Nothobranchius furzeri: one gene and its partners. The protein of the gene in region 3 interacts with the protein of the main gene of each other region in a pairwise test. Links are inferred from orthologs where the notes say so. Each region holds a gene or a part of one and is shown on either strand. Other genes may lie near its edges.

The links.
Region 1: the proteins of ranbp9 (region 3) and disc1 interact in binary tests that used the Homo sapiens proteins (3 or more experiments, as listed by UniProt). The link is inferred for Nothobranchius furzeri from reciprocal best matches to the Homo sapiens genes RANBP9 and DISC1.
Region 2: the proteins of ranbp9 (region 3) and ppp1caa interact in a two-hybrid assay, tested with the Homo sapiens proteins (2 studies listed by BioGRID and IntAct). The link is inferred for Nothobranchius furzeri from reciprocal best matches to the Homo sapiens genes RANBP9 and PPP1CA.
Region 4: the proteins of ranbp9 (region 3) and oprm1 interact in binary tests that used the Homo sapiens proteins (3 or more experiments, as listed by UniProt). The link is inferred for Nothobranchius furzeri from reciprocal best matches to the Homo sapiens genes RANBP9 and OPRM1.
Region 5: the proteins of ranbp9 (region 3) and ppp1cc interact in binary tests that used the Homo sapiens proteins (3 or more experiments, as listed by UniProt). The link is inferred for Nothobranchius furzeri from reciprocal best matches to the Homo sapiens genes RANBP9 and PPP1CC.
Region 6: the proteins of ranbp9 (region 3) and mkln1 interact in a two-hybrid assay, tested with the Homo sapiens proteins (2 studies listed by BioGRID). The link is inferred for Nothobranchius furzeri from reciprocal best matches to the Homo sapiens genes RANBP9 and MKLN1.

Annotation. Positions count from the first base shown.
Region 1 is NC_091752.1:2,346,839-2,351,545, reverse strand, and holds part of disc1 (disrupted in schizophrenia 1 protein), read right to left. Parts: intron 3,983-4,707; coding exon 3,928-3,982; intron 2,515-3,927; coding exon 2,412-2,514; intron 2,236-2,411; coding exon 2,047-2,235; intron 1-2,046. UniProt on the Homo sapiens protein: Involved in the regulation of multiple aspects of embryonic and adult neurogenesis. Required for neural progenitor proliferation in the ventrical/subventrical zone during embryonic brain development and in the adult dentate gyrus of the hippocampus.
Region 2 is NC_091745.1:8,621,548-8,625,712, forward strand, and holds the end of ppp1caa (protein phosphatase 1, catalytic subunit, alpha isozyme a), read right to left. Parts: intron 4,010-4,165; coding exon 3,878-4,009; intron 3,211-3,877; coding exon 2,980-3,210; intron 2,894-2,979; coding exon 2,789-2,893; intron 2,706-2,788; coding exon 2,482-2,705; intron 2,051-2,481; coding exon 1,916-2,050; intron 1,701-1,915; coding exon 1,584-1,700; 3' UTR 1,250-1,583; downstream 1-1,249. UniProt on the Homo sapiens protein: Protein phosphatase that associates with over 200 regulatory proteins to form highly specific holoenzymes which dephosphorylate hundreds of biological targets.
Region 3 is NC_091751.1:36,409,818-36,414,524, forward strand, and holds part of ranbp9 (ran-binding protein 9), read right to left. Parts: intron 2,928-4,707; coding exon 2,760-2,927; intron 1,730-2,759; coding exon 1,707-1,729; intron 1-1,706. UniProt on the Homo sapiens protein: May act as scaffolding protein, and as adapter protein to couple membrane receptors to intracellular signaling pathways. Acts as a mediator of cell spreading and actin cytoskeleton rearrangement.
Region 4 is NC_091752.1:24,311,820-24,316,526, forward strand, and holds the end of oprm1 (mu-type opioid receptor), read right to left. Parts: intron 3,624-4,707; coding exon 3,303-3,623; 3' UTR 810-3,302; downstream 1-809. UniProt on the Homo sapiens protein: Receptor for endogenous opioids such as beta-endorphin and endomorphin. Receptor for natural and synthetic opioids including morphine, heroin, DAMGO, fentanyl, etorphine, buprenorphin and methadone.
Region 5 is NC_091757.1:28,391,695-28,397,100, forward strand, and holds the start of ppp1cc (serine/threonine-protein phosphatase PP1-gamma catalytic subunit A), read right to left. Parts: upstream 3,354-5,406; 5' UTR 3,045-3,353; coding exon 2,990-3,044; intron 2,466-2,989; coding exon 2,334-2,465; intron 2,155-2,333; coding exon 1,924-2,154; intron 1,242-1,923; coding exon 1,137-1,241; intron 920-1,136; coding exon 696-919; intron 1-695. UniProt on the Homo sapiens protein: Protein phosphatase that associates with over 200 regulatory proteins to form highly specific holoenzymes which dephosphorylate hundreds of biological targets.
Region 6 is NC_091741.1:63,266,226-63,270,932, forward strand, and holds part of mkln1 (muskelin), read right to left. Parts: intron 4,635-4,707; coding exon 4,546-4,634; intron 3,946-4,545; coding exon 3,836-3,945; intron 1,629-3,835; coding exon 1,436-1,628; intron 1,322-1,435; coding exon 1,205-1,321; intron 1,012-1,204; coding exon 946-1,011; intron 1-945. UniProt on the Homo sapiens protein: Component of the CTLH E3 ubiquitin-protein ligase complex that selectively accepts ubiquitin from UBE2H and mediates ubiquitination and subsequent proteasomal degradation of the transcription factor HBP1.

The DNA of each region.
Region 1 (4,707 bases), on a different chromosome or scaffold from region 3:
ACCCTGTCTGTTTAGCTTGACGTCTGATATCTATCTATCTATTTATCTATCTATCTATCTATCTATCTATCTATCTATCTATCTATCTATCTATCTATCTATCTATCTATCTATCTATCTATCTATCTATATATATATATATATATAGCCATGCCGTGATGTGTGTGTGTGTGGGGGGGGGGGGGGGTGCGTCGACATGGTCGGGACATAGAAGGGGGTGCGCGGCTAAATAAGTTTGGGAACCACTGATTTACTACAACTGATGCATAAATGATCACTTTTAGAAATGCATCTGAACAAACAGCAGATCTGCAACGAGGCGTGTGTTTATGACGTGGTCAACATGTGTATCTGCTAGAACTTTGCTGTGGAGATATAAAGAACAGGTCAGTGGAGTGATAATGGCGAGAGGGTTGGGTTTCCATCCTGAGTGACCCAGGATCGGTTGTTTTATTTGACACATTCAGGGTTCTCCTTAACCCTTATTACCTTATTTTCCGGACTATAAGCCGCTACTTTTCCCCCACGCTTTGAACCACGCGGCTTACCATGAGGTGCGGCTTTAGTCCACCAGAAAGGATGGATGCTGGAAAGTCTAATGAAGGAATGGTTAAAGGAGCGCTACGGAAAGCACCCAGGAGGGGTTTTTCACAGTAAAACGGCGCCGCTTGTTTTCCCAGCTTCACCCGGGATGATGACACGGACATCGCCACAGAAAAGGTGCGTGACGAAGCTCTTCTGAGGCTGCTCAACTCCGACACTGAAGAAGAAGATGACTTCAGTGGTTTCAGAGCGCAGGAGGACGATGAACAAACTAATCAGTAACTTTTCTGTTTTGTCTGATACTGATCAGTTCAGTTACGTTCAGTTAGACTACGTCTTCTATCCAGTAGATATCTGCGGCTTTAAGCCAGGTGCGGCTTATATTGAGGTGCGCTCTATAGTCCGGAAATTACGGTACAAATAGTTTTTTTAAATGATCGGTTACTCTGAATGTGAAAATAGTATTCCATCCCTGTTTCCTGCATTTCCTTCGAACAGAAAACACACGGTGAAACTCTAGAGTTAGTCAAGCCTGACAGATTCACGTCACACTGTCCTTGATCTCGACTCGCGACAGTTCAGCATCCAGGAAACAGCAGAGCACATTTTGACGAGTAGAAGCTAACCGTTAGCATTAGCACCACACAGCAGAACTCCTCCAGGCTTGTTTTATGTGTGGAGATAAAACATCAACGTTGCAGAGCAAATGGGGTCAGCGGTGGAGTGGCGTTGCTGTCAGCCAATCGCATGTCTACGTCGAGGTGTCCAAATATCGGGAAGTAAGAATCCAAATCATCATTTGAAGCTCAACTTTGATTTGGCTCACTTTTAGTTCCCGAAACAGGTGCACTGGAGGATTTTCTCTCCAGCGTGTGACACGAAACGTATAACTAGAGATCACTGCCAATGTTTTAAATAAGCGTGGAGGCAGTAGCGGCGGGGGTTTAGAGGAGCCACGCGGGATGCTTGAGCTGACAGAGCGACAAGTTTGGTCATTCTCCTTTTTTTGGTGGTGCAACAAGAAAGTGAAAATAAAAAAATGGACATGTTATTCTTCATATTTTTTATTAATTTTATAATTTTTGGGTAAAAAAATTCCGCCAATTGGAGAAACAAAAGGTTGCGTGGCTAGACTGCTTAAAACTAGAAAAAACATCATGTTAGATTTATTGGCTGGTTTTTAGCGTTCTAGCCAAGCAACTGCTGCTTACCTCATTAAATCAAAGTAAGCACGTATAATCTGTCGGCGTTGGTGTTGTAGTGGTGTTTTTACATCAAAACATTCAGGCAGTCCGCAGGGAATTCTCTGGGTGCTTGTTTGTTGTTAATAAAAGGTTTTCATCCTTGTATTGGTTTAAGTTGGGAAGGAAAGTAAAGCATAACAGTTTGCAGGCATCTAGTTAATGACCAGGTGAGCTCTTCACTATAGAAGTGTTGAATCACAGGAAAGAGCTGTTGATTTTATTAACATCCTGTTACCTGCAGGAGGCCTCAGAGACTCACCGTGCTGCGCCTCCCTCTGCTCCAGCTCCTGCCTGAGCTGCTGCCGCTGCTCCTTCATCCCGGCCAGCTCCTGGCTGCTCCCTGAGCTGAGGCTGTGCAGCCTCTTGGCCAAAGCCTCCAGCCGGTCCCGCTCCAGGTACACCGCCTTCATCTCAGCCTTCAGCTCCTTGGCGCTGCTGAAGTCATTACCTGCGCCGGTGCACCACAGGAGGGCATTACACTCTCACCGCCTATTAATGAGCTTCTTGAGCATTAATGGGGTAATCAAGCAAGGCTAATGGTGAGCGATTCGAGCAAATGGGGTAAATGAAAGGATGCGTAATGTAGCAGGGAGGTTTTGGAGGTAAAGCTCAGTGGAAAGTTACCAGAGATGGCTGCCAGTTTGGCTTCATGCAGCGCCAAAAGCTGCGTGTCGGTCTCGCTGACTTTTCTCCTCAGGCTGCTGCCCAGCCTCTGACTCATGACCACCTGGGGATAAAGAGGAGAAGAAGATGCAGAGGAGTGAGATGGGGAGGGTGGTAACTAGCAAAACCTTTGCACAGGCATGGATCCCACATGATGCACTGCTCATTTCCTCGTCTGCCTTCATTTTCTATCTGAAACTCATTCTTTGACGACCTTACAGGTTTATCTGCATTTCAGCGTCTGTTCTGCTCTGAATGCACAGCCGAGAATCATCTCTCCTCATCAAAAACCTCTAGAGATGACACAAAAGGCTTATTTTCATATAATATATGGACTATTAGAAAGTCAGAGCAGGTTTTTGGGATGAGAAGCTGCCGCTCAGAGCAGAATTTATGGAGTTTTTTTAAAGATCCGATCCATCCACTCTGCTCCTAAGCATACACACTTTTAGCTGCATTCACATAAAATCCTCGTTTCTTTTGAAGAATTGTTTTCACACCTCAAAGATACCTAGAAGTGGATCTTCTTATGCATTTATTCCTCTTCTGGAATCTGACACAGTTCTGCACATGGTTGTCAAATAGATTGGTATTTCACAGGCAGAACATCTCCAGGGAGGCTTTTTTTTCTCTTTCCTCCCACAGAAATAAAGCAAAACAGGCTTGAAATTTTTGACTTCATGCAAGAAGCTCTGTGGAGCACTTTCTGCCGTCTGTAGAAATTCTGACACCGACGATTTCATTTCCAAACATCAGGCTTTGTCAATTTTGCAAAAGCGGAGAGAATGAGAGTCACTTTCATGCCGGGAATCGTTCCGTCACAGCAAGTGTGCCGTTTTCCACATGGTGGGTATTTCATTTAAGAACCAAACTTTTCATTCCTAACATAACAATGGAAACTCTTGCGACTGGTGGAAGTGCGAACGTTGCTTTGAAGTGCAGCAAACCGGTGGTTTGATGATGGGTTTCTAAAGGACACGTGACCTCTCATACCTGCTGTTTGTAAACTGCAATTTCTTACACTTTTTTGCCTTTTTTTTTCCAGCTGCAGAAGCTTTATTAGCATAAAAGGGGAACGTCCAATCCCTGTGGAGCAAATGAGAGTAAACAAAAACACACCATACTGACCAGACTTCTATTTTTACTTTATTATGTACTTCCTCTACTCAAAAGAAAAAATCTGACAGCTTTATCTTTAACATCCCTATTTCACTTGGGAAAAAAAAGCTGTTCAAAATGGCACATCCTGCTGCTTCTGACTCCAGCACGCAGCGGTGAAGAGATCACTGCTTTGTCAAATCAAAAAAGATCACAAGAATGCAGACTGACATTTAGTTTGCATTTTGAGCACTCCGACAGTGGCACTTACTGTCTGCTCTGACTATTAGGCTTTCATACACATTCAGTCACTGTGGGCAAGCAGCGAGGAGGCTGAGCGGTTAAGGAAACAAATCAGGTGAGAGGAGCAGGGGCTTACTTTAGCTGTAGCTTCCTTGATGGACAGGTTTAACACCTGCTCCTCCTCCTGCAGTCTGCAAAACAGGCAGAAAATGTTCAAAACAGAAGAAATAATCATTAATTCATTAGAGTCAATCAAACAGTTGTTTAAAAGCAAGAGAAAATCAGAATCAGAATCAGAATAAGCTTTATTGCCAGCGCTCCAGCGACCCAGTGCATAGGAACTTGAGTCCGCAAACACAACCTGACCAAGGTTAAACAGACGCACATGTAGACAGAAACAGGTACAGGCAGTCACGAGAGCAGCCAGAATGGCGCTCATTTCATTAGATGGAAAGGGTGTTGCATGAGGATAATTGGGGTAAGGTAAAAAAAAAAGGCATAAAAGAGTTAGACCCAGCGGGGAGTAGCTCTATTATACAAAAAAAAACTCCTCAACATAGAAGCACGAACATCACAGTTACAAAACGTCAGAGTCCGATGGGGAGGCGGGGTTGGGCGGGATCCTGAATCCTCCAACGGGAGCTGCCATTATGGCGCTCAGTCAGCTGCAGTCAAACAGGTGGGAGGGAGGGATGAGGGACAGAGAGCACATTGAGTTTCCTGCAGGTTGCTGACCTCGAAGCAGAAGTCACAATCTGAAGGCGGGGGGGGGGGGGGAACGGTCGGGACACAGCATCTGTCAGCATTCCTCCTTTCGTGGGGGAGTGTTGAGCAGCCTTGAGAGGCTGCCTTGGCGTCAGATAAGGATAAACAAGACTTTGTTTAGGGCAGGCAGAGATCATTTTCCTCTCTGCCT
Region 2 (4,165 bases), on a different chromosome or scaffold from region 3:
TTATGGCTTTTTCCACGGGAAGGGAATACAAACAAATCCAAATACGTCTACAGAACCGCTAAAGTAGAAAGCACAGAAAAGTCTCGAGTGGAAAACAAGATGTTCACCTGAAAAGCACTTGATGCCGTGACCTTAACTTTTAAGAGATTGAATATAATGTATGTACATGTTTATCTTAATACATTCATGTTTTATTACTCTAGAACCACGATTTGCAGGCATTTTCCTCACGTTCGAGGCTTCGTAACCATCTCAATAAAAACTAAAGGGATGAGAGGGCCATGCCATTTGAGTACCAAGGTTAAGATTTATGATTGTAGAATTTGGGTCTGAAATTTAACACTATATTTGTTTAACTTACAATCAAATGAAGGATTTAAATGTGATCAACAATCTGATATTCCTTTAATTGTTCTCATTTTAAATAAAGCTTGCATTCTTAACAGTATGAAATATTAAATCTATTTAACTGTCAGTTTGTTATTGGATGACAGCTGTTTGAGTATTTCAGCTAAAATATTGCTGCCGCACACCAGCCCAGCTCTACAACAATCCCAAGTTTTCTTTAAATAATCATTTTCTTCGTTTCTAATGAACACGTCCTGATCAGACTGAAGCAGCAAGTCTCACGTCTCGGTTTAATCTGTGTATCATCCGGGCCAGAAGCACACCTGCCAGTATTTACATCATTTACATCCCATTTATAAAACAATTCTTCAAAGCTGCATTAGTTCAAGGTGCAGCAGTCAAAACCACAACAGAAACCAACCACTGAGCGACAGATATAACAAAGTGATAAGCATGATGGCGTATTCAAATAAATGGTTACTTTTTATTCATCTTCAGCTTCAAATAAACTAAAAAAAAGAAAGAGGAAAATAAAACCATACTCATTTCAGTTATCTACAAAAATAAAACAAAAATTAGGTTGAAGAAAAGAGCAACTCTACATCACATCCATGTCATCTCAAACGATTTTCAAGTTGGAAGAAGGAAAAAAAAATAAGTCATCTTATTGTGAATTCATCAAACTCGAGCATTAACCTGCACTTCTATAGATCCACCTGTGCCGTTACCTTCCAGCTGTGCAACCTGATCTATGATCTCCCCACACACACACACACACACACACACCCATCAAAGACATAAATGAATACGTGAAACATGATTTACAAAAGCATGAAAGTAATGCTGAACAGTGCCTGGCCTTAACATAATCAGTCAGCGCTGTGCTCTCCCACCCCTGCAGCCAGGCTAGGATTTACATGATGAGTGGGACAAACCCGTCTCTGCAACCAACAGAAAGACCAAGAGGAAGGGAAATAAAACGTACAGAATACAGCAACTCCCTTTGTGTCGTTCTCACATCTCCCTCTCACACACACACGTAAATAACCAGATAAACGTTTGAACTTTGTTTTAGAAACAAACAAAATATATATAACACACGAATGAACATTGGACACTGGTCGTCTTTGTTGCCATTCGGTAACTAAGAGAAACAAGATTAGGAGGTAGAAAAAGAAAAAGAAAGTTGGGCCAACAGAGGGTGAAAAGGTTGTAGGAAGGGAACTCAGCAGGTGTTATTTCTTGGCCTTAGCGGCCTTGGCTGAATTTCTTGGAGGAGTGACCGGTCTTCCTAATCCCACTCCTCCTCCTCCTCCGAAAGAATACAATTTCTTATCTGCTGGCTTCAGAATCTGCAAGACAGATGAAGGAATGATCCACATTAAAATGGCAAACACAATTTCTTCTAATTTAAAGTCCCAATTTGAATATTTGTCAAGTTCAATATGTTAAACATCCGTTTGACAAGGAGCTAGGAAACACACACACACACACACACACAAATGATACGAAGATCACTCAGCTAAGCTACATGGAGCAGTAACAAACAGGCCGTGTGTTTACCCACCTGAAAGGAGCACATGAGCGTCTCGTCCACACTCATCATGGCACCAGCATTGTCAAACTCTCCACAGTAGTTGGGCGCTGAGAACAGAGTGACGAGTTGCCTCTTTGCGAAAAACTCATAACCATCTTCCACGACCTTAGCACAGAAATAAAAGTGTCAGAACAAAGACTAGTAGGGTTTCTCAGGTCCAGGTGAGAACGATTAAACATAATCAGGGAAAAAGATTTTCCTCCCCGACACGTTTGTGAAATGTTTGAGTTGCAGTTCTTACATTACAGTTGTACTTGAGCTAAATTAGGAACTACCGTACGTAACCTTTGTGTGCCCCTGTGAAGGGTGCATCCCAGTAAAAACACGAGGAACATAAAAGTGACTCAAGTCCGAATGAATCAGTGCTAGAAGAATGAAGAAGCCACTAGAGTCCTCAAAGGATTAAATTTACATAGATGACGCAATATCACAGCGTGTTGACTCATGTCCCAATAACACCCCCACAACAAGCAGAGATCAAAGTTAACAGGAGCAGAGCTTTCCTGGCGAGTTACACAAAACCACTCAAACATCACCTGGTGCGCCCTGCATATTAGGTCCATGTCATGTTTGTGCAAAAATTTGGCCACCACATCTGCTCCGAATGTGAAGGAGACGCCACGGTCGTTTTCGCCCCAACCCAGGACGTCTTTGTCTGGATCTGCCCACAGCAGGTCACACAACAAACCCTGGTCAGGCACGTCTGTGGGTCGCATTACTCTGCGGATCTGCTCCATGGACTGGAGGTCCGGAGAGAGGCCTAAAGACGACGCAGAGAGAACATCAGGTTTTGTTAGTCGTTCATATTTCATCATCCGTAAAGCACACGTTCACTAGCTCTACCTCCGTGACAGCAGAAGATTTTCTCATCTACAATGGCAGCCACAGGTAAACAGTTGAAGCAGTCTGTGAAGGTCTTCCACAGCTTTATGTTATACCGTCGCTTACCTACCAGCAAAGAAAAAGAAACATTTGCAGCATTTGTACAACCAACTCTGACTTGTTCATTATTCACAGACATCTTTTGCACTTACACTCATCATAAAAACCATAGATTCGATTAATAGAGGCGCACTCGTGATTGCCACGCAGCAGGAAAAAGTTCTCTGGGTATTTGATCTTATAAGCTAGAAGCAGACAGATGGTCTCCAGGGACTGCTTCCCTCTGTCCACGTAGTCCCCCAGGAACAGGTAGTTGCTTTCAGGAGGGAAGCCTCCGTATTCAAAGAGCCGGAGGAGATCATAGTACTGACCATGGACATCACCTGCAGGGGGCAGCAAAGAAACACCATGTCAGCGTTACTGTCATTTATGAGGAAGAATCCTATTTTTAACTAGCCAGCCTTTAAGTGGACCGTACCAATTCTGAAACTCTCATTCCTTTTATTAATAGAAAAAGATAATTTAGAGTCTTAGTGATATAATCTCCCTAAAATATTCTTTTGGTTTTTGTATTGTAATTGATCGACTTGCTATTTAGACAATTATGAAAAGAAAAGCTGATGAAGTTCACACAATAAAACTATTTTAAAGCTTTAATAATAAGGTCATTAATGGACGTGTTGTGCAAGACGAACTTGTCCTTGTCGCCAGATTAGCTGTGAACTTTGGGTGTGATAACCTACATTGTGGTTGTCTGATCAAGCAGAGTTTGGGCTTCGAGTTGCTCCAGAGGACTTTAGGTGACAAATACTATGACAAATGGTAGGATGTGTAATATGCTGAAACCCAAACAAAAGGCAGCCATTGTGTAAACCCAGGATAAGACTTCAGCCAATGGAGGAACATGTTGTGTAAGATTTCCTTTATGTGAGGAGAAAAAGTCTAATTAGCTCCTGGTTTATGAGCAATAACTATTAGGAGGAATAAACTCAAAATAAACAGAAAAACTATAATTTTACATTCCAGCCCCTAATTTTTACAAAAACTCACCACATATTTTTAAAGGAGCTTCCAGTTCCAGCAGGATGGGCTGGCTCAGGAAGATCTCACGGGACTTCAGGCAGAGGCCGCGGATCTCGTTCTCCGTTAGCTGAACATTCTTTCCTGGCCGAGAGCCTTTGACTGGAGGAGGAAATAGGAAAAAGAGAGATGTCACTTATTTTATGGAAGAAACATCACAAGTGACACACAGCAAAGCTTGGATTTTGAACCAGACCACCAGACTGGACGGTTAACACCTCCCACCAGCCAAATGCTGTCAAGTTCTGTTAGCGGCTC
Region 3 (4,707 bases):
CAAGGTGACCGACGGCCTGGTTTGTTTATTGGAAACAATGACTCAGCGTTTTTATTGCCAGGTGCTGAGATTTCAGACTCCAAACACTTTTTGGCACTCGACGTTCCAGTCTATTGTTTTAATCTAATCTTCCTGTCGCCACAGTTTCCTCCCCATAGATGTTGTCTCTGAGGATCAATAGTTCCTCAAACTGAACTCCAGTTTGGTTAAACGCCAACTGGTGAAGATGAACAAGCAGAAGCAGCTTTTAGTAGAAGTTTTAAATGCTTGTTGGGAATTTTCTATCTAATTTATTCTATAAAATTATATTTAAAACTCAAAACATGCTAGCCTGGCAAGCCAGATTAAATAAATGGCCTAACTTTGCTAAGCAAGAGTTTGGTCTAGTTCTCCAGGCTACGGACATGCAGAAGAACATGTAACATAAGCCGAATCGACATTTACACTCATAACTCGCTACATTACACAGTCAAATATCCACATCCTGGACAGCTGCGGGCACCAGACTCACACCCGTGACTTCATGCTGAGACTTTGATGGTTTTTCTGTGGCTCTAAAATGTTCACAGAAACACAAACTGGGTGATTTGTTTGGTTTCTGATGGAGGAAAAAATACACATGTATGAGCTGTAAAGAGCAGAGCACGTGTGCGAGGCAAGGATTGGGTCAACCAATGGATGTAGTCCATTAAAATCACTTAAAGAAAATATGCAACAAAGCTGTGTGTGTCTCTCAGGCTCGTCTTCGTCACTGCTCGATAACCACAAAGGTCAGCTGTGCCGAGGTGACGCACTTCACTGTACATCTCTGGAGGAACATGAATATCAGGCTCACAGCCAAGGCTGCTCAATAGATTATTGTTGTGGTTAAGAGTCTTCTGTTCGCTGCTGAAAAAACAGTCAGCCCCTGTCTTCATTTGCATCCCAGTCTGTAGAAGGTGGAGAGAAACTTTGCTCTCAGCTCAGTTAACGCGTGCATCAGTCCCACTGGGTATGGGAAGTGTTCATGTGTGGAGCAGGGTACGACAAAACTGACATGATGGAAATATCAGAACTTTATGGCCCCAAACTAAAATATTCAGAACAGCAAACAGCGCTCTTATGAACATCTATAACAGTTTGTGAGGGTTCTCAGATTTTGAGTCTCAAGGCTGTTTCACTTGAATTTTGAACATATTCAAATAATCCACTAGAAGTAGATGTTGAGTGGAACCATCTCAAGTTCTTCTCAATTTAGTTTTTGTAGGTCAGGTGTTCAAGACGACTTTGGGAGAAGCTGAAGACAAAATTGCAAATAAATATGGCAAACAAAATGAGACAGAACTCTGAGACAAAAGCCAGTTACACATCTTCATCTCTTAATCATTAACATATGACATGAATGATATACAGGTTAACTCTAGTTTCTGACCAAAAACAGACCACAACATTACGACCGGCCCGTAAAGCATCTTGAACTGACTTTAGAAAAGTAACATCTTTTCAGTCGCTTCAACAATCAAACATTTGAACCTTTCCGGTTTTTCACCCTTTAATCAGATTTTTTATTTATTTATTTTTTACAGAGTAAACACTTCAGAGGAAAACTGAAACACTTCTCTGAATCAAGTTGTGTCTAATGATATATAATCGAGATAATGAATAATGATGATGATAAATAATGGAGACTAAAGATAAATCAAGGGTAAACAGAAGTGGCTACTTACTGGTAAGTCTGTGAAGGCGATACCTGCAAGAGAATAAAGGCAAGAGTCAGAATGAAGTGAATCGTATCTAAAAACAACAGAAGGCCAGAGAGTCTGTGTTCACAGAAGATTAAATAACCAGGTTATTTCTGCAGAAACCTGATTTAATTAGTCGTGTAAACCAGGAAGGAGGTTTCCTGTAGCTGGTTTACATTTTCGGATTTAACATCCAAACACCGATTTCAGAGCAGAGGACAAAAGAAAAGTGTTTAAAATTTAAAAAGCTGCAGTTTCCTTTCTGCTCTCTGTCTCTCAGATGCAGCGAATACAGGAGAACAAATGTGACTTTTGCTGTAACAGATTTTTCTGTGGAATTAGCTTTTAGCCTTCTGGACATAAAATGTTCCAGATTTTTATTTTTTTCCCACCATTTAATTTTCTACAATATTTATTGGAAATGTTATAATAAATGAAGGAAAATTTCACTGAGCCAAAAACACGTTCAGTGAACTCACTGTGACACGACGCCCATGAACATGTCAGCTCATCCTTGGTTAAATGATTTGTGGCAAAAAGCAGCAATAAAAAACCTCATGGTGCTTTTTAAGGTTTAAGTTTAGGAAAATAAAAACAACCCAGTTGTAAGATGCTCAGAAAAAACATGTTCATCCTTGTTAGATGTGAATTCATCTGAGAAGAATCCATTATTGGGAGGAAGGTGAGCAAAATAAATCCAAAGTGAATTAATAAATGACAATAATAATACTGTATAATAAAGGGAATGACAACATTTACTCCATTGCAGCAACCATTAACAGAAATTAGAGGTTGAGCATCTTAATTTGTGTTTCGATAATGAACATAGCTCTTCATTCAAATATTGTTTTATTAGATTCGATTTTACTAGATTAACACGTGCTCCATGTAAATACACACACATCCATTAAATAAAGAACTGATCCAGAACCAGAGGGCAGCTTGATGATTTCCATTTTCACTTTTCATAATAAAAATCATCCCTTTAACCGAGCACAAATCTGTACCGAAGAGCCCTGCGGCTTCGGTTCTGCTTACCTAGGCTGTGGCCGTTCTTTGTGTAAAAGCAGGTGTTGTTGATGAGGTTAACGCAGCAGCCAATCACATCGCCCGTTGTAAATGTAGGTCCGTAGGGTTGCCCGGTGCCAGAGGAGCAGAAGGAGTGGCCATCGTCTCCGTGATAACCATATGAGTGCTTGTCCCAGCCTGAGAGCAGCAGAAAGGTTCAAAAGGAAACTTTATTGTTCATAATCCTGATGACAGTACCACTGCTGTGATTAAAGCATAAAAATACACAAGTTTATAACACAGAAACAAATAAATTGGTCTTAAATTTAAAAACAATCTGCATGATCTTCCCAGGAGAAAACGGCCAGAAACGAAATCTGGGAAGGAGAAAGGGATCGACCAACATTCCTACTGAGGATGCATCCAAAACCCTGCACTAATGTCCCCCAGACTCCTTTGTGCCTCTGCAGGGTGTGCTTTGTTAACGTGAACAGAGCAGAGTTTTAACTCAGGATCTCATCTGGGCACTCAGAGAAATCAGCTGAACACACATATAGTGGGGCAAAAAAGTATTTAGTCAGCCACCGATTGTGCAAGTTCTCCCACTTAAAATGATGACAGAGGTCAGTAATTTACATCATAGGTACACTTCAACTGTGAGAGACAGAATGTGAAAAAAAAATCCATGAATTCACATGGCAGGATTTTTAAAGAATTTATTTGTAAATCAGGGTGGAAAATAAGTATTTGGTCAATAACAAAAATTCAACTCATTACTTTGTAACATAACCTTTGTTGGCAATAACAGAGGTCAAACGATTACTATAGGTCTTTACCAGGTTTGCACACACAGTAGCTGGTATTTTGGCCCATTCCTCCATGCAGATCTTCTCGAGAGCAGTGATGTTTTGGGGCTGTCGCCAAGCAACACGGACTTTCAACTCCCTCCACAGATTTTCTATGGGGTTGAGGTCTGGAGACTGGCTAGGCCACTCCAGGACCAGGACTTTTCAAATGCTTCTTACGGAGCCACTCCTTTGTTGCCCGGGCAGTGTGTTTGGGATCATTGTCGTGTTGGAAGACCCAGCCACGTTTCATCTTCAAAGCTCTCACTGATGGAAGGAGGTTTTGGCTCAGAATCTCACGATACATGGCCCCATTCATTCTGTCCTCAACACGGATCAGTCCTGTCCCCTTAGCAGAAAAACAGCCCCAAAGCATGATGTTCCCACCCCCATGCTTCACAGTAGGTATGGTGTTCTTGGGATGCAACACAGTATTCTTCTTCCTCCAAACACGACGAGTTGAGTTTATACCAAAAAGTTTTACTTTGGTTTCATCTGGCCACATGACATTCTCCCAATCCTCTGCTGTATCATCCATGTGCTCTCTGGCAAACTTCAGACGGGCCTGGACATGCACTGGCTTCAGCAGCGGAACACGTCTGGCACTGCAGGATTTAATTCCCTGCCGTTGTAGTGGGTTACTGATGGTGACCTTTGTTACTGTGGTCCCAGCTCTCTGCAGGTCATTCACCAGGTCCCCCTGTGTGGTTCTGGGATTCTTGCTCACTGTTCTCATGATCATTTTGACCCCACGGGATGAGATCTTGCGTGGAGCCCCAGATCGAGGGACATTATCAGTGGTCTTGTATGTCTTCCATTTTCTGATAATTGCTCCCACAGTTGATTTTTTCACACCAAGCTGCTTGCCTATTGTAGATTCACTCTTCCCAGTCTGGTGCAGGTCTACAATTCTTTTCCTGGTGTCCTTCGAAAGCTCTTTGGTCTTGGCCATAGTGGAGTTTGGAGTCTGACTGTTTGAGGCTGTGGACAGGTGACTTTTATATAGATAATGAGTTCAAACAGGTGCCATTAATACAGGTAACGAGTGGAAGACAGAAAAGCTTCTTAAAGAAGACGTTACAGGTCTGTGAGAGCCAGAGATTTTCCTTGTTTGAAGTGACCAAATAGTTATT
Region 4 (4,707 bases), on a different chromosome or scaffold from region 3:
TTGAAGAATTATGTATCGTCTGAAGTGAGGAGCAGAAATGGACCACTCCATAATTCTGAAGTGACCCAGGTCCAGCGTGGTGCCAAGCCGATTGGTGTTAAACTCTGAGGTCAACCCCTGTTGCAGCTGCACAAAGGCTTGTGGAAAAGCACAGCTGATCCCAATGACTGTCAACTGCACTTTCTGCTCAGAAAAGTCCCCGCGCAGGCATAAAGCCTTGGAGCTTTTGAGTGAAGGAACACTTGAAATTCACATTTTTAATAACTCACCGTGTTATTTTGACATGTGGTAATATTTAGCAATAACTTCTGACAAAGGAATGGCATTGAGTTATGAAGGCAAATGATGGATCTGTTGGCAGAACCTGGACGAAGCAGCGATGTTGAAGCAGATCAGCGAGGCAGAGTCTATAAAAATCATCATATAACCAGAGAGCAAAAGACATTTTAGTGATAAAACATTAGATTTTTTATACTGCCTGGAACATCCTTCTTCTTATGGTGGTATTTTTAATAAATATTTAATTTAATCTAAATATTTCATGCTGTTTTTAATTTGGACTGCCGAGTACAAACAAACATGCAGCCACGCAGCTTCTGAGCACAAGTCAGCAGGTTTCCAGCCACCATGAAATGTGCCAGCCACCTTTGTCCAAGTGCACGTGTGGTTTTTTGTTCCCCCGAGCGTGGGATTAAAGCCCCGTGGTGACCTGTGTGAGTTCTGAGTTGAGATCATCGTTGGCAACGCCACCACGACAGCGAGAGTCCATCGACGACCCCTCCAAGGCTAGTCATACCTGCAGAGGGAGAACAAAGTGTGTCCGTGTCAATTCAACCAATATTTTCACTCTAAAAGTGTTGCAATTTACCACAGTGAATCGTTTCTTTCACAGATAAGTCCATAATATTACTGATAGGGGAACTCATTGTCATGTTACACTGTCAAAAAATCTTAGATTTTACGATAAAAGAGCCCTGGGTGGCCTTTTGGCAACAGAGGTGCCTATTGGGGCCAGTGGGGGAGCTGGCTCCCTGGAGGGCTTAAGCCCAGCCAGCCATTCCTCCCCATACCCACACATTTTTCTCCTCCTGCTCCCTCACATCATCACACAAACATGCACATAGGACCTTGGGGGGGTGGACAAGTCAGGGGGTGCAGGTATGGACCCCATTTCCACATTCCTGTGGCAATCTGCCCCCCAATTTTATTTGCACCATAAACACTTCCACCAACGACATTCCACGCAAACACTTGGGGTCTTGGGAGTGAGCACATTCAACGGCATTTGGCAGGGGGATTTTTCAGCCTCATTCTGAGTGCTGGTGCCCACTTCCCATTTTAAACTGCACTTAGACACTAAGGGCTGTGGGTGCAAGTGGGGTGGTGTGGTGGCATCAGCTGGCGTAGGCTAGACGATGCCCGCGTTGCCCGCTCACCACAGCCATGGACTACACCTCATCAACATGCACTAACACTATATTGGAGCAAGCGGAGGGAGATTAGGGGTCTTAGCACACCTCTGTTGTTGCTTGGCTTCCCGGAGCTGGAGGCTAGGAGGGGGATCTGGCCATCTGGTTGGGGTCTGGGGTGGTGGGTTGCTTTGCTCAGTGTTGGGCGGGGGAGTCTGCTCATCAGCATCCCAGCAGAAAGGGTCGAACTCTGGGAACCGGTAATGGTTTTACCCCATGTGCAGCAGTACCGGGACCAGAGTGAATAGGGTGTGTATGGGGAGCATGAGTGGGTGTCCGGCATGCATTTTTGTAAGTCTTTGGTTGTATGTGTATGTGTGAGCATGAGGGAGGGAGTGTATTACTGTGTCTGTGTATGACTGTATATGTCAGGTGGGGCCTTTGACTCCTCCCTCCTCCTGGGACTTCTTTTGATGCTATACATCTTCATCTCCCCTCCCCCTGCCACACCTGGTGTGGAGTGTGGTGCCTTGGTCTGCCTGAGTGTTCGTGGTTAGGGGGTTTAAGATTTTTGGTGTCTGCCTGATCAGTCCCGGTGGCTGCCTGGTGGGATCTGGGTCCCTGGGCTCTGCTGGGTCCCCGGCGGGGTTGGTCGCCCCTGGGTCCTGGGCTCGGCTGGCTGGGGGGTGGGAGGCTGCGGGCGGGCCTGTGGGCTTGCCGCTGATATCTCACAGGACTCTGCCGGATGCTGGTTGTGGCCCCCCGGGGCAATCCTCTGCGCCTCTCGAGGGGGGCAGGGGCTTTTCTGGTTGCAGTCTCCCTGGGGTCCCTGCACTCTGGGGCAGCTCCTGGATCTCTGAGACTTGGAGCTCCTACACATCTTTGGGGGCAGATCTGTGGCCCCTCACACTCTCTATTGGACGCTCCTATAGAGAAACCTTACATATGCAAGCGCGGGTACGCACACAGGTGCTCACATGGTGCTCTCATAAGTATGGACTTGGGCACGTTCAACACATGCCTTGAGGCTGTGGTTGGCACTTAATACACTGTGATTTATTATCGTGTGATTGTTCAGTAAAACATTGTTGATTTAATATTTTCTCATCAGGTTGATACAGTGATTGTTTGCTCCTGTTGTATTGTTGTGTGTTGTTTTTCTTTTTTTTCTCCTTCTGCAGGTCTAGAAGCAGACTCTTGTTCATCATTGATTGTTTATTTTGTGCCAGACTTCACCTAAATGCCGTTAAGCTCACTGGGAAACAGGAAGTAAATTCTCCCCAGCAACTGCTACAATTTTTTTTTGTGTCTCTAAAAGGCACGCGAGTGCCGCTACCAAAATATGTTGACTGAAACACCACAGAAGAAGTGAGCTTGTCACATGATCAAATTAATTTACTTAATGGCTAATGGCTAATAATCGTTAAGGGCATCAATAACTTGTTAAAGAAATCTTGGAAAATCTGCATCCCTAATGCTGTATAATCTAGTGTTTTCATGTGACATTAATGTAAAATTCACAACGTTAAAGGCCCAATGTGTGATATTTCATCTTATAAGTTATCAAATTTCTTGTATCACATTCTCAAATTTGTTTTTTTTTAATGATAATTCAAACAAGCATTTATTCTAAGCATTATTATTAGCTTTATATTTTAATATTTTAGACAAAAGAAGCAGACCGGTGCTCCATATGGCATGCGCCATCTTAAAATACAGTGACCTTTTAGGGACATACAACATATTAAGCTTCGCATTTGATGTTTGCGTTTTTAAATGATGTAACCTCAAAGAAACAGCAGGGGGCAGAAGTGCGCCTTGTAAGCATGCAGTCTGACAAAGTAACTAAGAAGAAGAAGAAACTAGCCACACCGTACTTCTAGCGATGGAGGATCACACATATTCTACAAGCAAACTTGAGAAACGGGATAGTTTGAAAGTGCTTGAAAGCGCCGATCTTCTAGACTTTATTGCAGCTCTGCCTCTTCCTCTTGTGCGTGGAACGTTGCGGCTGGTTTGAGCAAATTCGGCTCCTTCATCTTGGGATGCTTGCCCTGCTTCTGTCGCATGTCTAACACCTCTGCCTCTCTGTGCGCTGGCACACGTCTGTCCTCTCCCTCTTCCTCTCCCTCTTCCTCTCCCTCTTCCTCGCCCTCTTCCTCTCCCTCGTCCTCTGTCTGTCTTCACTGATGAACCATCGGATGATATCTGACTCTGTTTACGGAGAGAAAACAATTACAGACTACACTACCTTGTATATTTCCAAAATGGCAAATAGAAATATAACATTTCTCAAATAAAATGAACAAAATATTGTCATTTTTTGTAGTCAGAAGTCATCACTAACTAGCTGCCGTTTGCTATTAGCAAACATAACTGACATAAAAAAGTTTTTCTTATTCAAAACCTATTTAGATTAAATTAATAAAATAAGTTAGATGAAAACAACTAACCTGTTCGCTGACTTGAAAGCTGGAATTAGATGATGACATGCTGCCGTTTACAGCAACACGATTTTGTATTGTATTTGTTATATTTGTTAATAAAGTTTTAAATAATGATTAAAAAAACCCTTTTTGATCCTCGGGGGCTCCAATAGCTGCAATACCAACTATAAACTGCGTGGTGCTAAAGAGTCGGATCTTTTTACTATGATTTCTGTGAATTTCACACACGGGGCCTTTAAATTACACCATGTATCCGTTATCAGCAATTAAAAGCTGTAATGTTTTCAATTAATAAATGTAAAAATCATAGTGTTTATACCGTTGATGAAAAAAGCTGACGAAAGAGTGCTTTACTGTGGGAATATGTATTTTATTCAAAGAATTTATAAATTACTGTTTTCACCAGTGGCAACACCACATTAAATCAACAGTTTTAAATAGTTTTATAGCTGACGGTTTTTTCCTGTTATGGTTTTACGGTTTATCATTGTTAAATAAACAGTAATTTTTTACAGTGTACAGCCACTTTACACAAACTGGATCAGATTTGTCTAAATTATTAAGCATATTTGGGATTTAAAAATAAAAAATAACAACTGAAGAGTGAAAATACATATGCACATTCTTTACAAGACAATTGGATGTTTTCATTTTAATTTACTTATCTTCAATTGGGACACAAATGCAATATTTTTCATTTCTCAAAAAAATAAGTGCAAAAAACAGTAACAAAGAAAGTGATTTATTTTTGATAGACTACTGAACTGGGTGGGAATTTCAGGTACAGCCCATAGTTGGTTTCAATCACAACTTGCAGACAGGAATAATGTTTCCATTGGTGAAAAAAATCA
Region 5 (5,406 bases), on a different chromosome or scaffold from region 3:
ATGTTTGCCACAGAACTCAACTCACGTATCGTTAGCTTTTTGCGTAGTTTAGAGGGGTGAGTCGTACCAGCGTAGATAGATGCCAAATTGGCTACGCAAAATGCGTACAGGTTGGGCAGGTCTGCTTTATGTGATGTGGCTTGAGTATTCAAATACTAATATTACAAACGATAAACTTCTGAAACGGTTCTTGATTTTAGATGCTGAAGAAGAAAATAAGTCTTATTTTCACATAAAACCCTCCTGTCTTTTAACTGAGTCCACGCTCTGAATGATCTGAAACAAGAAAAAAGACCAAATACTAAAAAAAAACCCACAGAAATATTAAAACTCTCCACCATTTAGCATCTGGCTGACAGAGAGGCATGCATGTAGGTGCAGGCTTCAGCCATATGACTGATCTAAACACAACACTACTATGTGTGTTCTTACATAAACACATTAATCAGCGGATGAGTTGAACAGGATCTGTTTCAGTCTGCAGCTAACATCCTGTTTTATGCTTCTCTGTTTACATTATCAGGACCTTCATGGAGGAGTGAATGAGAGCTAGCTTCTATTCCCTCCATTTGAGAGGAACAATCCTCCTTTCCCACCGGGATCATAATGTAAGAAGAGCACCTGGCCTCCTCTTTAGTCTACAGTTTGCCAGCACAGGACGCGATGTCCATGCACCACCGTGTGAGCACAGTTACCTGATGAGCACGGCAGATCAGATCGAGGTCATGCTTGTGCAGAAACTTGGCAACCACCTCTGAGCCGAAGGTGAACGAGACCCCCCTGTCATTCTCGCCCCAGCCCAAAACATCTTTGTCTGGATCGGACCAAAGCAGATCACACAGGAGGCCCTGGTCAGGCACGTCCGTGGGCCGCATGATGCGTCTGATCTGCTCCATCGACTGAAGGTCAGGTGACAGTCCTGAAAGCAACAACACAGCAGTTGTACAAACAAACAAACTGATACAGAGGTCAGACCTACTTCACATGGGTCGCTGCAAACACCAGTCAACATCATTTCACAATGACAAATAAGAACGGCTGACGTCAAAGCCAAGCCTCTTCTGACGAGCTGCTTTCCACTAGGCAACATAAACGTTCTGATTAAACATCAATATTCTGTTAAAGACAAAACACACCTCCATGACAGCAAAATATCTTTTCATCCACAATGGCAGCAATAGGGAGGCAATTAAAACAATCCGTGAAGGTCTTCCAGAGTTTGATGTTGTACCTTCGTTTACCTAAAACAAGACAAATAGTTATGCTTTTATTTTGAAGGCACAACAGCAACAAAAATTCAAGTTTTCACTAACCCCGGCTTTCCACAGGAGCCGTCAGCAGCGCGAGTCGGCCGCGTCTCAGGAGCAGCATGTCGCAGCCTTTACGCGCCAGTTCTATTTTCTACGCGCGACGCCTCTGAAACGGGTCAAGTTCGACATTTTTGGGGAAGGAAAGACAGGAAATCTGACGCGGAAAAGGAGAGAAGCTACAGAGATTTTCAGAATAAAGAACGTACTGCCTTCCGGTTGCTTTACTTTTAAAAAAGGTTACTAACTGTGCGTCCCCATGAGAAGTTATCACCTAGCTAGCGGTCTCCTTTGTTTTCAGGTCCGTATTGGCCATTATAAAACGGACAGAACATAAAACCCAAACCATGTTGTAGTTTTCTCCTGCTTGTTGTTGTGTTTACTGACGAAGTCACTCGTGTGACTTCGTGCTCTGTCGGTGACAGCTGCTCCCCTGCTGCTTCGCGTCTCGTGGGAAGGGCCAAGCAGCAGCTTACGCGAGCAAGACGTGCTGCTGCAGTAACGTGCTGCTGACGGCTCCCGTGGAAACCCGGGGTAAACGTTTAACAACATGAAAGCTGCTGCAAGTTCACACAAGAGACCAAACAGTGACACAATTAAATGGCAAGCTGCTCACACTCATCATAGAAACCGTATATTCTGTTGATTGAAGCACACTCATGGTTTCCCCTCAGCAGGAAGAAGTTCTCTGGGTATTTGATTTTGTAGGCCAGCAGAAGACAGATGGTTTCCAAAGACTGCTTCCCCCTGTCCACATAGTCGCCCAGAAACAGGTAGTTGCTCTCTGGAGGAAAGCCTCCATACTCAAACAGCCTCAGCAGGTCATAGTATTGCCCATGAATGTCACCTGCAAAACAAAACAAACAGCAATAAATAAATAAATAATGCACCTGCAAAAACTGGACAAGCAAGCTTTTAACTTTGGAATCAAATGTTGACATTTATGTAATTGGTAGAATCTAGCTCGAAGAGAAAAACGTTTATTAATAAGCAACAGTAAATAAAAAAATGATGGTTTTTACTAACCACATATTTTGAGAGGGGCCTCCAGCTCCAGAAGAATGGGTTGACTGAGAAAAATCTCCCTGGACTTCAGGCACAATCCACGAATCTCATTCTCCTGCAACTGCACATTCTTCCCAGGCTTTGCTCCTCTGACTGCAGAGAAAACACAAACATCAGTCAGCAAAAAAACAACATAACTATTGCTGCTTTGTCAGCAGTGCCTGATGCAGTATTTGTTTGGAAATGTAGGAAGTAACATACGTATTTGTACGAGATGCATCATCATACTATTATATTCTATCGGGACAAGCGTTACGAAGTTTATTTTGTTGGTTTAAAATATAGTAAACATGTTCATATGTATAATAGTAGATCATCTACTGTAGATGAGAAGGAATAAAAGCCAGCAGCAGCGGCTAAAATCATAGGTCACGCAAAGGCGGACTAGCGCCGGTATGCGCAACTACGTTAATATAGTTTAGTAACTGTTTTTACAAATCTTTCATTGTCATTTGATTATATTGAAAATTTACAATTAAAACACATTAGATGTCAATTCGGGAGTAAAACCAATAATAACGGAAAACATTAGCAAACGGGTTTCATGATATAATGCGCTGCCTGTTTGTAAAGCGTCAAAATTTGTGTAAATGTACAACATTTATGAACATACTTGCCTTCTAAAAGACGTTGAATAATACTGTCTATGTTGAGTTTGTCAACATCAGCCATTGCAGTCGTTTACTAAATGAACTCAGCCAAAGGTAGGTCTTTCAGTTCGGAGAGCTAACCCGCTAGCTATCCTAGCATTAGCTATCGTCTTAGCGATATTGATTTTCCGGTTTAGCGTGAAATATTTCAGATCAACCCAGTATCTGTTTACGTGCTGGCTAATAATTCATAAAATATAATAAGCTACTTAAAAAAATCGCAATATTTGTTCTCAGTAAAATCTAGTGTACGTCTTCATAAAAACCGCGACATAAAAATGTACGTAAGCTGCGCTAGCGCGGAGAGGAGACCAGTCTGTTTTCCTTTTCCGCTGCCGCACCTTGCTAACTAGCTGCTAAGAGCTAGCTGCTGCTAACTAAACCGCTGCTGCCTCCTACTGGTCTGGATGTGAGAACGCCTGAGCATATTATTATAAACACGACAAAGCTGCAGGTGGCACCTGGAGTATATGCACATGTCGATGGGTAGCACACAGACATTCATGTCTACGGAGAAGCAGCAGAAAGTGTCATGGCAGATATTCACATTTACCAGGAATATCAAGACGTCTTATAAGAGCAATCTGTTCAGAAATGTATTTATGTCTGTCTGGGCCTTGTCATAGGGTGAAAAAGAAAAAGAAAAAATATATAATTTATACATAATTTGCACACACACACACACACACACACACACACACACACACACACACACACACACACACACACACACACACACACACACACACACACACACACACACACACACACACACACACACACACACACACACACACACACACACACACACCTATGTAAATTAAGAAAGTTTCTTTTTACATATTATACTGTAGAATTTGATTCGTTATGAAATAGAAAAGCTGCATGATTGACTTATATTTTCTTATCTGAAGGGAACATCAGCTTATTACAAGATAATTATGGAGTAATTAATTAAAATGCACTTTTAAAAAATAGCAGATCAATGGGAAAGATAATATTGCAGCATTATGGAGACAACATTATTATGCAATGTAAAATTGTTTAAAAAGTGATCGGTATGAGGATGGCTCTGTTATTAATGATGAACATATAGATGTTTAACGACCCATGAGGTGCATGAAGCTATTCACAAACTAGCTGATAACAAGGCTTGTGGTCTGGATCACATTAGTGCAGAACATTTGAAATATACTAGCCTAAGGCTAGCTTCCCTTTTAGCTCTTTGTTTTACAGGGTTTATGATTCATGGCATACTACCAGACTCAATGATGGCAATTCTGCTTGTCCCAGTTATTAAGAACAAATCTGGGAAGGTGACCAGTATAGATAATTATAGGCCGATTGCACTAGCCAGTGTTTTATCTAGAAATAATCATATTTGATAGAATCACTGTGTACCTTAATTCCTTGGATAATCAGTTTGGCTTTAAGCCAAAACTTGGTACTGACATGTGTATATACGCACTTAAAGAAATGGTGAACCGGTATAGAAATAGAACTTCTTCTGTCCTTATGTGTTTTATTGATGCTTCTAAGGCTTTTGATCGTGTAAACCACAGAAAACCTTTTATTAAGTTAAAGCTACGGGGGGTCCCTGGGGTTATTGTGAGAATCCTGTCTTACTGGTATGCTCATCAGATGATGCAGGTTAAATGGGGTGGCAGCATCTCTGCACCATTTGGTGTTAGTAATGGTGTTAGGCAGGGTGGAATTCTGTCTATCTTATTTAATTTGTATGCTGATGACCTGGTGGTCTTCAGTCCAAGTAGTGCTGGTTTACAGCAGCTCCTGAATATCTGTTCTGAATATGGTGTGCAGTACGATATCCAGTATAATGCTGTTAAAAGTGCTATCTTGATATGTAGAACCAAGCAAGATAAAAAGCTAAACTTTCCTGTGTTCAAACTGTCTAATAGTGATCTTAATGTGTGTGAGAAGGTGAAATACCTTGGCTACTTTATAACTGATCAAATGCGTGGTGATGCTGACATCCACAGACAGTGCTGTAAGCTGTATGCACAAGCTAATACTATAGCTCGTAAGTTTGGTTTTTGTTCACCTCCAGTTAAGGTGGCTTTATTTAAAGCATATTGTACTCCGCTTTATACAGCCCAACTGCGGTCATCCTGCAATCACAGCAGCATGAATAAGCTGCACGTTGCACACAACGATGCCTTAAAGATCATACTCAAAATACCCAGTGTTTGTGTGGTTACTCTTAATCGTGTGGAACATCTCTGTAGTAAGTTTTTAAAAATAGATTTTAATTTTATTTTTATGCTTTTATAATTTTTATTTGTTCTATTTGTTTTTACCTGTTTTGTTTCATTTATTGTTCTTAATGTTTTGCTGTTTAATATTTTTCTTTATCTGGACCGAAG
Region 6 (4,707 bases), on a different chromosome or scaffold from region 3:
GTGGCGCAGTGGTTAGAGCTGTTGCCTTGCAGCAAGAAGGTCCTGGGTTCGCTTCCCGGCCTGGAATCTTTCTGCATGGAGTTTGTATGTTCTCCCTGTGCATGCGTGGGTTCTCTCCGGGTACTCCGGCTTCCTCCCACAGTCCAAAAACATGACTGTTAGGTTAATTGGTCTGTCTAAATTGTCCTTAGGGGTGGGTGTGTGTGTGTGTGTGTGTGTGTGTGTGTGTGTGTGTGTGTGTGTGTGTGTGTGTGTGTGTGTGTGTGTGTGTGTGTGTGCGTGTGCGTGCGTGTGTGTGTGTGCATGATTGTTTGTCCTGTGTGTCTCTGTGTTGCCCTACGATGGACTGGCTCTCCGTCCAGGGTGTACCCCGCCTGATTGCCCGTTGACCGCTGGAGATAGGCACCAGCCGCCCCCCCGACCCTACGTGGACTAAGCGGGTTCAGAACATGGATGGATGGATGGATGATTGTATGAGAAACAGAACATGAGAAATTGTATGCTTAATATAAACAAAAGGGTTTAAAAATGATTTGGTATTGCAGATAAACAAGTCGTGGGACTGGTACATGGCTTGTCTTTTTTTTTCTTGATTTCCTGTATCAACTTATGTTGTGTCCTCCAAACAAAACACAGCTGTCAGTGTGTGGTCAGAGACAAAGCAGCTCAGAAACGAGCTGCAGACGCTGCATCACTAACCCACACACACTAGCCTTTTGTTTTCTACAGATAGGCAGCAAGGAAGTACCAAAAACATGGAGAAAACACCCCAAACTAAAATCGCGTTGCTGTCAAAACAGATGTTATAATGTCTGGAGAAGCTGGAGGTGACGGGAGCGAAGAGGAAAGTCTAATCTGATTAAACAGACAGATATTTGCATTTTGAGTTTGTGGAGGAGGAAGTGAGTCACAGTAAATTCATAACACCGTCTGCGTAGGTCTCACCAGTCTGCACGTCAATGACCATTTGATGTCCTCCCCTCATCCCTGGCCTGTTGTCGTCACCATCACCTGGAACAAGAGGAGGGAGGGGATAAGGAAGGGGAGTGGAGTGGATGGGGGATGACAGAGAGGAAAGTGAGGGAGTGGAATAACGGGGGGGGGGGGGGGGGGGGGGGTGGCGCACACATAAAGGGTTAGATGTTGTAGCTGCTCTCATGTGACTGAAATGTTTAACGGACGGACTAGGAAAAGATTGTCTCACTGTTCACGTCGTCTCGGCTGATTTCTTGGCTGCTTGTCCCTTTGTTACACTTTGGGATGATCTGACTCCATCGAGGCTTGTACTCCTGCTGGCTGATGTACTGATTAAACAAGCCATCTTGTAAAGGAAAGAAAAAGACTGTTTAAGTAGAAATAATGAAAGGCAGAACAGCATATCTGCGGTTTTCTGAGTAGATCACACCAAAATACATTTTTAAAAGTTTTTATTTACCTCTCACAGCTTTATCTATGAGCTCCTCGCAGGCATCAAAGTCTCCCTGTAAGACCAGTCGATCGTGGAGATGAGTGAGCATCGGGTGCTCCAGAGCTATCCGGGTCTTCTTCTGCAGCGACTCGAAGGCCTCGGTGTAGTTGTGCTGCCTGAAGTGTTTGAGGCAAAGCCGGATGGCTTCCTGTTCTCTGTACTGAAACCACACAAATGAGGCTAATCTGTATAAATCTGTACTTTAAACATGTTCTCTGTCACCAAAAGGTCCCTTTTAGTACTTGGGAGATACCAAATAATACCAAATAGTTTTGAAATTCATAATAAAGTTTTAAATGTCAATCAAGAGGACCTATATCAAAATAAATGATCAATGTGTAGAAGCTACCAATCAATGTTTTGGACATCTTGAGAGTTTTTTTTAAACTAAAACACTAGAAGACAACTGGATTCTGTGAGGTTTTTCTGCATAACTGTATTCAAACTCAAAATAGCAAATTAACTGTAAACAAACCACCATCATGATAAAAATAAATAAAAATCAAGTAAATAAGTTTATATACAGCAGGGTAATGAACAGCTGACCCTGGTTTTTGCTTCCTGTGAAGAGGCCACCTGTTAAAGGCATGTCAAGTAACTTTTTATTAGTTATAAATGATTTTTTTGAGCCAGTAGGTGATAAATGACCCTTCACAGGGCGAATCAAAAGTCTCTCAGCCCTCTCTGCCCCTTGTGAACAGGATCCTTGTGAACAGTATCCCCCGTCTGAATGTGTGAGACTCGAGGGCAGTGGTCGGAAGAGGCAGACGCTGCACTCTTTCTGGCAATCAGACGCCTCAGAAGAAACAAAGAAAACATTTATCTGGTGAAGCTAAGAAAATAAAAAGAACACCCGATCACAATAGAAGTCAAACAAGAGTCAAACACTGGAGTCTTCTGAATAGCAAGAGCTCAGACACGCGATTCCTGTATGTTGTACATCATGAACACAGCTGATCCGTTTGATTTAGTGATAACTGCTCCTGTAGAAACTAATGAAGGCTGAGGAGACATTTCAGCAGTTAGATTAAGGTGTTGAAAACTCAAACGCACAGCAAGGACAAGGGTTTCAGTTTTGTTTTTAACTACAGTGAATTAAAATGAACACTGGGGTACTAAAAGCAAACCAAAACTGCTAAATTTCCCTTTAACCTGAGCCTTTTCACTAGACTGGTAATAAACGCTTTTACCCGTGACCTCAGCCACACCTCTCTTCCCGCCTGGAGAGTTTCAGACGGGAAACAGCTGCAAGAGTTCCAAGCAGCTGGCACCGCAGGAGAATTACAAGATTGCACATGATTTTGCCCGTTCACGCGTGTGTTTACCTCGACTACAGAGGTGTCACAGGTAATGACGTTTTTTTTTTTTTTTACTAGTTATGCAACAGGAAATCTGCACGTCTTTTATTTTGAAAGTAGCCAGATGTTTTACACGGTTTGTGTTTGACTTTCTGTCTGGCCCTATCAGAACTGACACGTACTTGACGAAACGTTCGTAGAGACTGTCCTTTATTCCCTCCTATGACCAAAATTTAGAATGTGTGTACAAACAGTCCGAAGACGAATTTAAGAAACACGCGGTGGCCTCTCGTACGCCCGTTCCCCCGCAATCGTCTGATGATAAATTCCATACATGATAAATTGTGGAGTAACGGGTTATGGAGTCGTTCTGTTTGGAGTTATTTTTATTGGAATTTCGGTCTGAGAACACAGCCTCTTCACAACGGTCATTCAATCTGGTTACCCTGGCAACGCAGAGTGTATGATCGGAGAGCAGAGGAGGTTCTGGAGGGTTCTCGTAGCTGTAAAATAAAATATGAACTGGAGTTGGATTTGTGTGGTTTATCTCTCGCGCCACAAAGACTGCCAAATAACAGCATGGCAGGATTTCCTTTGAGATCAGTGCGCTGAGAGAACGCGTTCCCTCCAGAGTGAACGCTCTGTTAAATCCTCCAAAAACACAGATCAGCCATGATATAATGTCAGATTCCTGTCGGTCACAGGTGTCTTTTATTGGCTTTAGCACCAATTATGCAGTTTTTCCACCGACATAATTACACACTGGATAAATAAAATGTGTGGATGAGGAGCACGCATGGATGACTGAGAACTTCAGAATTACAGTTCCCCTGTTCTACCAATAGATGCTGTTCCTACCCATGGTCAGAGCTGTTCTTATATTTAGGAACATGTTTGTTCCCACCATCGACATTAATATTAGGTTCCCACGCACCAAATACGCACAGATCTGTTCGTAAGTATGGTTGATAAATGAGGGCCCAGGTGTGTCACCAAGTATTCTAACAGTTTTATTGTCATACCTGCTGATTAATCTATCACATGAATGATTTAACGCTCCAGGTCTCACCTTGCTGTACCAGTTAAGGCAGGGCTGCACCACATCAGGGTCTTCAATCCCATGAAGTTCAATGTACCAGATGCTGAAGTTAAAACTTGGACCCCAGGACATCAGAGGCACTGAGACGAGAGGTGATAAAAAGTTTGACAAATGAGTACCTAAGCAAAACACGAGCACTGTAAACAGGGTATCTGCAGGTTTAAGGGGGCCAAATTTAAGACTTTTTAAGACCTTTTTTGAGGCCCCTTTGACCAAATTTAAGCCATTTTTTTAAAATGTCATTTAAGCTATAATTTCCAGCTATTGCCTGGAACCGGTTCTAACCACGTCGCGAACGTGGGATTAGCCATCCAGTTACCATTAAACTTGCACTTCCCCATGATGCAAGCTCCCACTAGCTTAACCAGCTAATGTGCTCATCTAAAAATAGCCCCCTTTCACAACCAACTGAATGTGTACGGTTCCACTTATGCAAATATGACACACATAAAATGCTGAACACTAACTAGAAATTCACGAAAATTTTATAGAAATAAAATAATCTTGTTTATTGGGTCTTTGGTAATTTAAGACCTTTGGAAACTGTATTTAAGGATTATTTGTAATTTTTAAGGATTTTTAAGGCCTTAAATGTGGAAAAGCTAATTTAAGACTTTTTAAGACTTTTAAGGACCCGCGGATACCCTATGTAAACTTATTACAGCACACACAGCCCTTACCTATTTTTACAAATCTGCAGGGGAACATCTGCTCGTCAATCTTGTGCTTTAATGTGAATGTCTCTTTGTTGTAGTCATTCTTAAGGCCACTGTCAAACAAGAGTAAAGATCATCAATATGAAGCAGCAACATCAACCCTGTGCCATTATGGATTGTTGCACT